Arabidopsis thaliana: one gene and its partner. The protein of the gene in region 1 purifies or fractionates together with the protein of each later gene. This does not show direct contact. Each region holds a gene or a part of one and is shown in the gene's direction. Other genes may lie near its edges.

Region 1 (5,233 bases):
AAAACTCCTCGAGTGTTTGGGATTCTCAAAGGATGATATACAGTGGTTTACAGTGAAGGAAGAGGAAAGCCACATTCACGTTGTGCCTTTGTGGACGCTTGCCAGTTTCAAACGGCTGAAGCATGTAGCTAACCGATACACAGTAAGAAACACATCCATTCGGTTTGACTGTCAAAGAAAAACAAAAGAAGTGATAATCTTATTGGCTGATTTCGTTAGAGGTTGAGTTCTAATACTGTTTTCTGTCCTGCAGAACCGTTACAGCCTTATCGTTGCATTTTCTCCTACTGGTTGGACATCTGGTAAGACTAAAAAGAAGTCCCCAGGAAGAAGGTTGCAACAGGGTACAATAATAAGGTAAACTTTTTGCCTATCTTCATGTCCTGTGGCATTGGGCTCAAAATCATGAGGCGGAGAATCTTTATATATATTTCAGGTACGAGGTTCCTTACAGTGAGCATAGCAGCTTCACGGAGCTAAAAGAGTTTGTGCAAAAAGTGTCACCTGAAGTCATCATACCGAGTGTAAACAATGATGGACCTGACTCTGCAGCTGCAATGGTGTCTTTGTTGGTTACGTAGAACTGTGTTTACATCTGCGATAAGCTTTGCAACAAAAAGGCAGCCTCCTTGACTACCAATTGAGCAGAGACGTCAAAGATCTACAACGAAAATGGATATGTTATGTTCTATCTAATTGTAGTTATGTAACCACATGATTATGTAGTGTTTTTCATCACAAACTCCGAATGCATTTGTTATATCAACTACTTTGGTCTTTACTTATTTCCACTGAAGAAATGCAAGTTGCAGACTAAATCCGTAATAAGAGACCAAGCTCATGGAATTGTTGAGTTTGCTGCAATTCAATGAGGAATATAGAAAACAGATATGCAGATTCGCATAAAGTATCTGTTAGAAAGGACACTTAAAATTGATAAATACTCTAATATCAATCTTCCAGTAAACAAATACATAAAGTTTGGGTAGTCGTAGAGATTACAAACAACAAGTATCAAAATTTGTTACAAAATCCTAGACAATCAGATCTTTTTATCCACCATGCAAAGTGGAAATGAAAACTACAACATCTTTATCTTCGATTACTGTATCGAGCTGACCACTTAGCTCCCAATCACAGTCATTCACCAGCACAAGAACCCCAGGTCTCCTGCACAACAGTTATTAACCTTCATTGAGCTTAATAAAGAAGTCTTAATGAAATCTTAACCTACAATGAGCTGATAAAGAAGAAAAATAGTCTTACACAGTATCTCCTTTCATGAACATCTCAGGTCTCTCTTTGATCAGATTTGTACGAACCCATGAAAGCAAATGCTTCATGGTAAACTAATCCAGGAATCAGAAAAGTGGAATGAGTGAGAGAAAAATTGCGAGCTTTATGATCCAAAAACATAAGAACTCAAGCTTACATCATCAGAGTCAGCTCCATTGGGCAAATCAACGTTTACTTTATGAATCTTTTCAGAATCACAGAGCAGCTCTAACCCACCCCTACACATCACATGTCAAGTTTCACTCTTCTCAATCATTGAACAACAACTAAAACACACACATGGTTCAAGTTCTTAAATTTCAGTATTACATACAATCAATCAGGAAAATAATCTCAAAAGACACCAAGTCAAAATCAGAACTTTAGTGAGGTAAAAACTAAAAACGCTACGAATAACAAAACTCCGATTACGAAAAGATTAAGTGATAATCGTACCCGAATTCAAGAGTTAATTGCATCGTCGTTGATGTTTGCAGGAGGAACCAAATTCAAAACCCAGCTCTTCTAGGGTTCGTTCGTGTGGTGTTGTTGTTCACTGTAAAACGACATCGTTCAGGTTGAAGACATGTTGGGCTATTTAATTGGGCCTAAAAATATACTACAAGATAAGGCCTATTACTTTTCCCGATGAATCATCATCTTATGTTAAAAAATTACTTATCGCATCGTAACCGTTGATTACAGGAACTGTAACGTATCAACGGACGATATTGATTCCTAGTTTGTCACTGAAAATAGAAAATAGATGGTGCCTGATATTTTTCCAGCGACCGGCAAAATTGCAACCAGGAAGAGAAAGAAAATCAGAGATTGATTTAACGTGAATGGAATTTTGTTGTTTCCCAATTTCTTCTGAGAAATAGCAAAGTTCAGTTTTGTTTCTCTCTATCTGAAGCTCAATGGAAGCTTATAAGCAATGGGTTTGGAGAAATAGAGAGTATGTACAATCCTTTGGATCCTTTGCCAACGTAAGATTCATTTTTATTACTCTTCTCCTTAATTTATTTTCCAGTTTGATTATGTTCTGATTCTCTGTCGATTTGGGTTTGTTTTCGTCTCGTCGTTAGTGTCAATTTCTAAGTTTTTCATCGTCTGCTTGTTTGAATATTTTTTGCTTGAAGGGTTGTGTTTTAAAATCGAAGCTTTTATTTATTGGGTTTAAGAATGAAAACCCTTTGAAAAAATTTAAGAGTTGAATCAGTTCGATCTTTTAATTCGTAGTTGTGGAATTCATCAGCTGATAGTTCGTCAAATATGTTTGTTTTGTTGCAGGGATTGACATGGCTGCTTCCTGAGAAGTTTTCTGCTTCAGAGATTGGACCAGAAGCAGGTTTTGTGATACTTTGGTAACATTTTACTGCTTTCAATCTTAGAATAACTGTTTCCTTTATCCCTGTTAGCTCCTAAAGTCTCTTGTCTGAATAATGAACACTGTCCTATACTCAGTTTTATCGGTTCTTCTCAAATTACATACTTCACTTGTACCTCCTCACATGTTTCGTGTCCTAAGTCTTTAACATTAGAACCTTCAAGTTCCAAAGAATGTTTCTTTCTTTCTTCTTTTGTCAGTTTTGTGTTCATGGAAGTGTGATTGAAGTTTTTTGGTAATCTTCTTTGTAGTAACGGCTTTTTTGGGCATATTCTCAACGATAAATGAACACATAATTGAAAATGCTCCAACACCTCGTGGCCATGTTGGATCTTCCGGGAATGATCCATCCCTTTCTTATCCACTACTCATCGCCATCCTCAAGGATTTGGAAACTGTTGTGGAAGTGGCAGCTGAACACTTCTATGGAGACAAAAAATGGAACTACATTATTCTCACTGAAGCTATGAAGTAAGCTTGCTTTCTTCTGATCACTTGGATCTACACAACCTACTTAGTTGGCATTTTGATATCTTGAAAACTTTGAATTTTCAGGGCTGTCATTAGGTTAGCCTTGTTCCGGAATAGTGGGTATAAGATGCTTCTTCAAGGAGGGGAAACACCTAATGAGGAGAAAGATTCTAACCAATCCGAGTCGCAAAATAGAGCTGGTAATTCGGGTAGAAATCTCGGGCCTCATGGTCTTGGAAACCAAAATCATCATAATCCATGGAACTTGGAAGGACGGGCGATGTCTGCTTTAAGTTCATTTGGTCAGAATGCAAGAACAACAACATCTTCTACCCCCGGTTGGTCTCGAAGAATTCAACATCAGCAAGCAGTTATAGAGCCTCCAATGATCAAGGAGAGGCGAAGAACGATGTCCGAGCTACTTACTGAGAAGGGTGTTAATGGAGCGTTGTTTGCGATTGGTGAGGTTCTTTACATAACGAGACCGCTCATTTACGTTCTTTTCATCAGAAAATATGGAGTCCGATCTTGGATTCCTTGGGCTATATCGCTTTCTGTGGACACACTGGGGATGGGTCTTCTTGCAAATTCGAAGTGGTGGGGAGAGAAGAGCAAGCAAGTCCATTTCTCAGGACCTGAAAAGGATGAGGTTAGAAATCTCTTGGACCTCAATACAACAGTAATGTTGAACCGATTTAACTCATATTCTTGTTACTTCTTCAGCTGAGGAGACGAAAACTGATATGGGCATTGTACCTCATGAGAGATCCATTCTTCACCAAGTACACAAGGTGAGTGTTCTTATGGTTTCAATTATGGCATTTTCTGAAATGGGAAAAATTGAAACCGAAGTGGTTCATTTCCTCTTGGCTCTTATGTTAATATTAGATTTGGTATCCCTGGGTTTTAGGCTTAAAGCTTAAGCTATCGCGGGTTACTAATAAATCAAATATGCTTGTCTTGCAATTGCAGGCAGAAGCTGGAAAGCTCTCAAAAGAAGCTGGAACTAATTCCATTGATCGGATTCCTCACAGGTTTACTTTTTAAAGCTTTCATTTCATTCACGAGATCACTGATTGTCTTGTCTACTTGCCATCTACTGACCTTATTTTGGTTCTCTCATGGAAATTGCAGAGAAAATTGTGGAGCTTTTGGAGGGAGCTCAGTCACGGTACACTTACATATCGGGATCGTGAGGTTAAGCGTTTTACTTATGGTTTATATGCAACGGAAGAATATTGCCATTGTTGGAATGCTTTTTCAGATCATCAAAGGCTCCTACAGATTTCTTAGGGAATGGTTTCAGGCTTTTGTTAGAAATTGTGTTTATTGCAACAGGTAGAGAACATAACCATAGACAGATGTATCTGAAGAGATAAGCTTCTCTATGTCTAAAGAAATGGACCGATACGAATAAAACAAGCATCATTAAAGATTAAATGGTTTGTAAGAAATACTACACTTATTTATGTGAAATTGTGTGGTTAGTGAAAAGTAAAAACATCGGAATCCAAAACCTCAAATTTACCAATCAGCCCAAATTATTGATGCTGGCGTAATGAATGGTATGCTGATGGTAGGCAAAAGTTGGTGGCTGCGAAAATTACAACATTATCCCTCTGTGGTGGACCCGAATCTGTAATCGGAAAAGGTGGAACCCACTTGGTTTAACTTTTAAGCCTAAAAGGTTACTACCGGTTTGACCGGTTTATAATTTGGTGTTTAATTCTAATCCCGGATCCGTTTGTTTGTTAATCTCAAGGCCACGTTATCGCCAATATTTTGATTTTTGAGTGGGTAGGGAATGGTGGGGTCGAATAGTTGGGCCTAGCCCTCAACAATGTGTGGAACTGAAGAGAGTAGGGTCCAGCTCAGGCCCACATTCACATTTTCGTTTTGTAGCCTTTCTTTTCTGGTGCTTACGGTCCCTCTTTCTGGTCGGTCGTATGTACAAGTAGCATAGCTAGTGGTTCAAACCCGAAACAAGTACCAACGAATCAAAATAAGTTTGAATCGGTTACATCTAGTTACCGTCGAACTTACAATCATTTCGATTACTTTGATCTGATTTCTAGTTCGGTTTGTATGTTTAATATC
Region 2 (4,623 bases), on another chromosome or scaffold:
AGACAACGACGGTCTTGTTTGGGTCCTAAGAAACGCAAGATTCGCTGCGTTTTGTATTCTTTTGGAGATGTGTTTTGGAATCGAAATGGATGAAGAATCGATATTGAATATGGATCAAGTGATGAAGAAAGTGTTGATCACACTCAATCCAAGACTCGATGATTATCTCCCGATTCTTGCTCCGTTTTATTCCAAGGAGAGAGCAAGAGCTCTCGAGGTTCGTTGTGAACAAGTTGATTTCATCGTTAAACTCATCGAGAGACGACGGAGAGCGATTCAGAAGCCGGGGACTGATAAAACGGCGTCGTCTTTTTCTTATCTTGATACACTCTTTGACCTTAAAACCGAAGGTCGTATAACGACGCCGTCTAATGAAGAGCTTGTGTCGCTCTGCTCTGAGTTTCTTAACGGTGGTACGGATACGACGGGGACGGCGATCGAGTGGGGTATAGCGCAACTGATTGTGAATCCTGAGATTCAATCTCGGCTCTACGATGAGATTAAATCAACGGTTGGAGATCGTGAGGTTGAGGAAAAAGATGTGGATAAAATGGTCTTTTTACAAGCCGTTGTTAAGGAGATTTTACGGAAACATCCTCCGACATACTTTACGTTGACTCATTCCGTCACGGAGCCGACGACGGTCGCCGGTTACGATGTTCCCGTTGGGATTAACGTTGAGTTTTATCTTCCGGGAATAAATGAGGATCCAAAGCTTTGGTCTGATCCGAAGAAATTTAACCCGGATCGGTTTATTTCGGGTAAGGAGGAAGCGGACATAACCGGTGTAACCGGAGTTAAAATGATGCCGTTCGGTATTGGCCGTCGGATCTGTCCGGGGCTAGCGATGGCGACCGTACACGTGCATTTGATGCTAGCGAAGATGGTTCAAGAGTTTGAGTGGAGCGCTTATCCGCCGGAAAGTGAAATTGATTTCGCCGGGAAATTGGAGTTTACGGTGGTAATGAAGAAACCGTTGAGAGCCATGGTTAAGCCAAGGGTCTAAATTTGTTTAATTATGAAAACGATGTGTGCTTATATATTAAAGAAGGAACCTATACTCTTGAAATTTGTCAAGTGCTTTGTGAATTTCTAGTAAAAGATTTCATTTATTGTCAAAACACATCAATAAATGATTTTGCTTTTTTTTTTTTTTTTCAATGTAAAACTGAGCTACCTTGAGATTGTGCTTAACACTAATAATTTCGTACATACACCGAAAGTAGGGCCAAGTAGCTATAAAGAGAAGAGACATGTCGATGTCAAAAATGAAAAAGACATGAATGTGATGCTGGACTTTCATTGAGCCGCAAAAGTTAGCTCAGATTTTAACTTGTTAACTAATCTTGTTGCATGTTCATGAATCATTGAATGTTTGAAATAACAGTTCACGCAATGTATCACTGTTCTACTTCACTTTTAATGCGAAACTAATGGCCCATTAACAACCAGAATAATGCTAATCATCATTTTTGGGCTTAGCTTGCTTTGATTAGATTTGTGAAGGAGAAGCCCATTATATTGGCCCAATAGCAAATACCCAATTAATTCCTCTCCCTCGCTTCTTCCTCGTTCTTCATTCGAGCAGAATCAATCTCATCGCTCTGTTGTGTCTAATTGAAGCTTTGGATAAGCTTCTTCCAATACCTCTACAATGGAGGCAACTGATATTTGGGGAGAAATTGAACGTTCTGAGAGGTATTCCTGAGAATTTGCTTAAATTTTAATTTTTCATGCTTGCGAATTTTGGTTCCGTACTTGGCCATGTGTATAAGGAGAAGTCAAAATTTTCTCAGAATTAGTTATCACGATAATTATCTATCCGGCTTTGATTCAGTCATGTATAGAGTTTGTAGAAAAACGATTCATCACAGACTTGACAAGAAACAAGTTCAAATGAAATTGCTTATGATGATGTCCACTCAAATTTATCTCATACTTGTAAAAATTATCTGTTTTCAAGTTGAGAAATTGGCTCAGTACCAATTTCATTACTCATTTTTTTTTTTGTTGGATGTGTATAGTTACCTAGTGTGCTCTATGTATGAAGAGGCAGAGTCATTATCTTCCTCTATACTGAAAAGAATATTTGGCAACATTGATGTTTTATCCGACGAAGCTTCTCAAGGTGATCATCAATTTCATGATATGTTGGAATCTGCTGGTATGGTCTTAGTTCAATCCTTGCATGGAATCGGCAGGTATATTTCATTTACTGTATTCAGATGTTATAACATGAGTAGTTCTTTTGCCTCTTACTTCTGTTTGGAATTGGATGCTCTAAAGAAACTTTAGAGTCTTGGACGCTTGTTGTAGTTTTGGCTATGTGATAGTTTTTGCCAACAAATGCCTTTTTCATGCAGGACAGTTGAGATTGTAAATGAGTTAAGAGATGTGTTTGGAGAAGTTGCAGCTATTCCTGTTCAAGTTCTTCTTACTGGGTATTGTTCTTGTTCTAAATCTTTCAAAGTATTACAGCTTAAGATGCTTTAAAAGGAGAATATTTGGTTCTTTTTGCAGTTTATTTTTCAAAACTAGGAGTAAAATACATTCATTTTATTTGCTAACTTTTTCTTCTTAAGGGGAGTACAATAACATTCATTTTATTTGCAAACTTTTTCTTCTTAAGGGGAGTACAATACTGCTCTCTGGATGCATTAGCATAGACAAAAGTCACAGAACAAGATTGTTGAAATCTAGTTTATTGATCTTCTTCCCTTTTTTTCCCTTTTAGAGTATGCCTTCAAATATCAAATGGTTCCTATTTGGGTGTACGTGATATTCTGGAAGAGTTCTTTAGAATATGGGTTTACAAGGACAACCACTATATCCTAAATGATGCTGGAGTAAGTACAAAAGGATTCCATGCGAAAAACTGTTTAGATATTGATGAGTACATGGAAGTCGTTGAGCTGTATACTTTTGGAGTTCTTGCAAAATTTTCAAATGACATGGGCCTAGCCATTTCATGGGTTGAAAAAGCTGCATTGCCTGAGGAAAGGCGACAGGTACTAACTATTGAATATTTTCGTGAGTTGTGTATGAAATTGTGAATTTGTTCTAACTATGATGCTACACTAAACTGTCTATTTCAGGGGATTTTGAGAAGATTGCATTCCTTACTTTCTCTCAAAACAGCTAGTTCTTTTGAGGAAAATTCCAAAGATTCTTCTTATGCTGTAGTGAATAACAAGAAGTCGTTGGGTAATGAAAAGAATGATGAGATTGATTCTTTCCTGAAACTATCTAAACAGCATGAACCTTGGTCACTTTGGTCATCCCATCCTCTAAGCCTCAAGGTTGGTAATACCCAATTTAGCATGTCCAGGGGAAAGGTTGCCGTAAGCCTTGTTGGATTAATCATATGTTATGCTTTGAAGAGAAAACGAGCTGCTTTGATAAGGTAAGAATTCTTATAAGCTTGTTTCTATGCTTGAATGATCAGAAGTTGTGTGATGAAAAAATACATTGTGAAACTTGTTTACTTGTTTCAGGATCATTCGCAGGCAAATGGAGTCCACGAGAAAAGCAATAGTAGATTTCTGGAAGCTTGCGTTTTCATACCAAGTGAATCCTCTTGCAGCAATTCAATCCATACCAAGCACCACAACATGAAGATGGATCAAAATTTGGCATTGAAAATGCCTATGTAATACCAAACCAACACTCAAATATTTTCATAATTGGTTCTATTCAAAGTTCAAACTTAGTTTTCCCAAACTTCTCCACTTATATCAAACTGTAATCACTGAACATGATTAAGAACCCGTTGCATATTATGTTTTATCTATATTTCTCCTTGCCTTTTTAATATGGGATAAATCCTCGTATGTTTGGATTTCGAAGAAGCAAGGGATTACAGTTTCAGATTCAAAGCTTACACTTCAAGGGAATTCATCTTCTAATGGTGAAACTATTTACAGAAGCAAAAGCTTCGCCTTTAAGGCTCCTCAGGAGAATTTCACTTACCATGATTTCGAGCTCGGCAAGATCTATGGCGTTGGCTCTTATTCAAAGGATTCATTTTTTCGATTTTTTTTCCTGTAAAAATCACACCTTTTTCTGCAATTTGGTTTGATTCATGAATCAATTCATATCCTGGAGATTTTACGTATGTGTAATTGAATCAGGTTGTTAGGGCGAAGAAGAAGGATAATGGAACTGTGTATGCCTTAAAGATCATGGACAAAAAGTTTATCACCAAAGAGAATAAAACCGCTTATGTCAAATTGGAGAGGATTGTTCTTGATCAACTCGAACATCCCGAGATTGTGAAACTGTTCTTTACTTTTCAAGACACGCAATCACTATGTAGGTAGTTTCTATTCAACTAAAGTCTAGACTAGAACAAAAACTCTAAAACCCTAAACCAGAAAATCTCATCAAAAAGCTTAAGCCTTGTATAGTTGTTGAAAGCTTGCTAAACTCCCATCATCTTCACCATCATCATCGAAAAACCCGAAGTTTTCCTGCAAGTAGCGGCCATATTGATCCGGAGAAATTTGGTCATTAAAATGTGGCTGCTGGCCAATAGAATTCAAGTTGGATCCAGTGACGGTTACATTGTCCCGGGAGTAGGGGTGATATTCACCCGGAGGAATTTGGTCACCAAAACGTGGTTGC

What was found.
Region 2: the proteins of SSE1 (region 1) and APEM9 purify together in Arabidopsis thaliana (affinity purification with western blotting; one study listed by BioGRID). This does not show direct contact.

What each region holds. Positions count from the first base shown.
Region 1 is NC_003071.7:18,822,564-18,827,796, reverse strand, and holds SSE1 (shrunken seed protein (SSE1)), read left to right. Parts: upstream 1-2,033; 5' UTR 2,034-2,195; coding exon 2,196-2,264; intron 2,265-2,568; coding exon 2,569-2,626; intron 2,627-2,916; coding exon 2,917-3,136; intron 3,137-3,220; coding exon 3,221-3,785; intron 3,786-3,859; coding exon 3,860-3,927; intron 3,928-4,108; coding exon 4,109-4,170; intron 4,171-4,270; coding exon 4,271-4,332; 3' UTR 4,333-4,630; downstream 4,631-5,233. Other genes in the region: AT2G45700 (sterile alpha motif (SAM) domain-containing protein), read left to right, coding at 1-142, 254-357, 437-581; AT2G45695 (Ubiquitin related modifier 1), read right to left, coding at 1,053-1,170, 1,267-1,349, 1,433-1,514, 1,732-1,754. UniProt on the Arabidopsis thaliana protein: Involved in the formation of peroxisomes, lipid bodies and protein bodies.
Region 2 is NC_003074.8:3,302,692-3,307,314, forward strand, and holds APEM9 (3-phosphoinositide-dependent protein kinase-1), read left to right. Parts: upstream 1-1,533; 5' UTR 1,534-1,654; coding exon 1,655-1,698; intron 1,699-2,024; coding exon 2,025-2,201; exon of another isoform or gene 2,202-2,346; coding exon of another isoform or gene 2,347-2,363; coding exon 2,364-2,441; intron 2,442-2,734; coding exon 2,735-3,008; intron 3,009-3,095; coding exon 3,096-3,403; intron 3,404-3,494; coding exon 3,495-3,615; 3' UTR 3,616-3,813; downstream 3,814-4,623. Other genes in the region: CYP77A6 (cytochrome P450, family 77, subfamily A, polypeptide 6), read left to right, coding at 1-1,006; AT3G10580 (Homeodomain-like superfamily protein), read right to left, coding at 4,392-4,623. UniProt on the Arabidopsis thaliana protein: Involved in peroxisome biogenesis and matrix protein import. Required for pollen maturation and in vivo germination via its role in peroxisomal function, which partially involves jasmonic acid biosynthesis.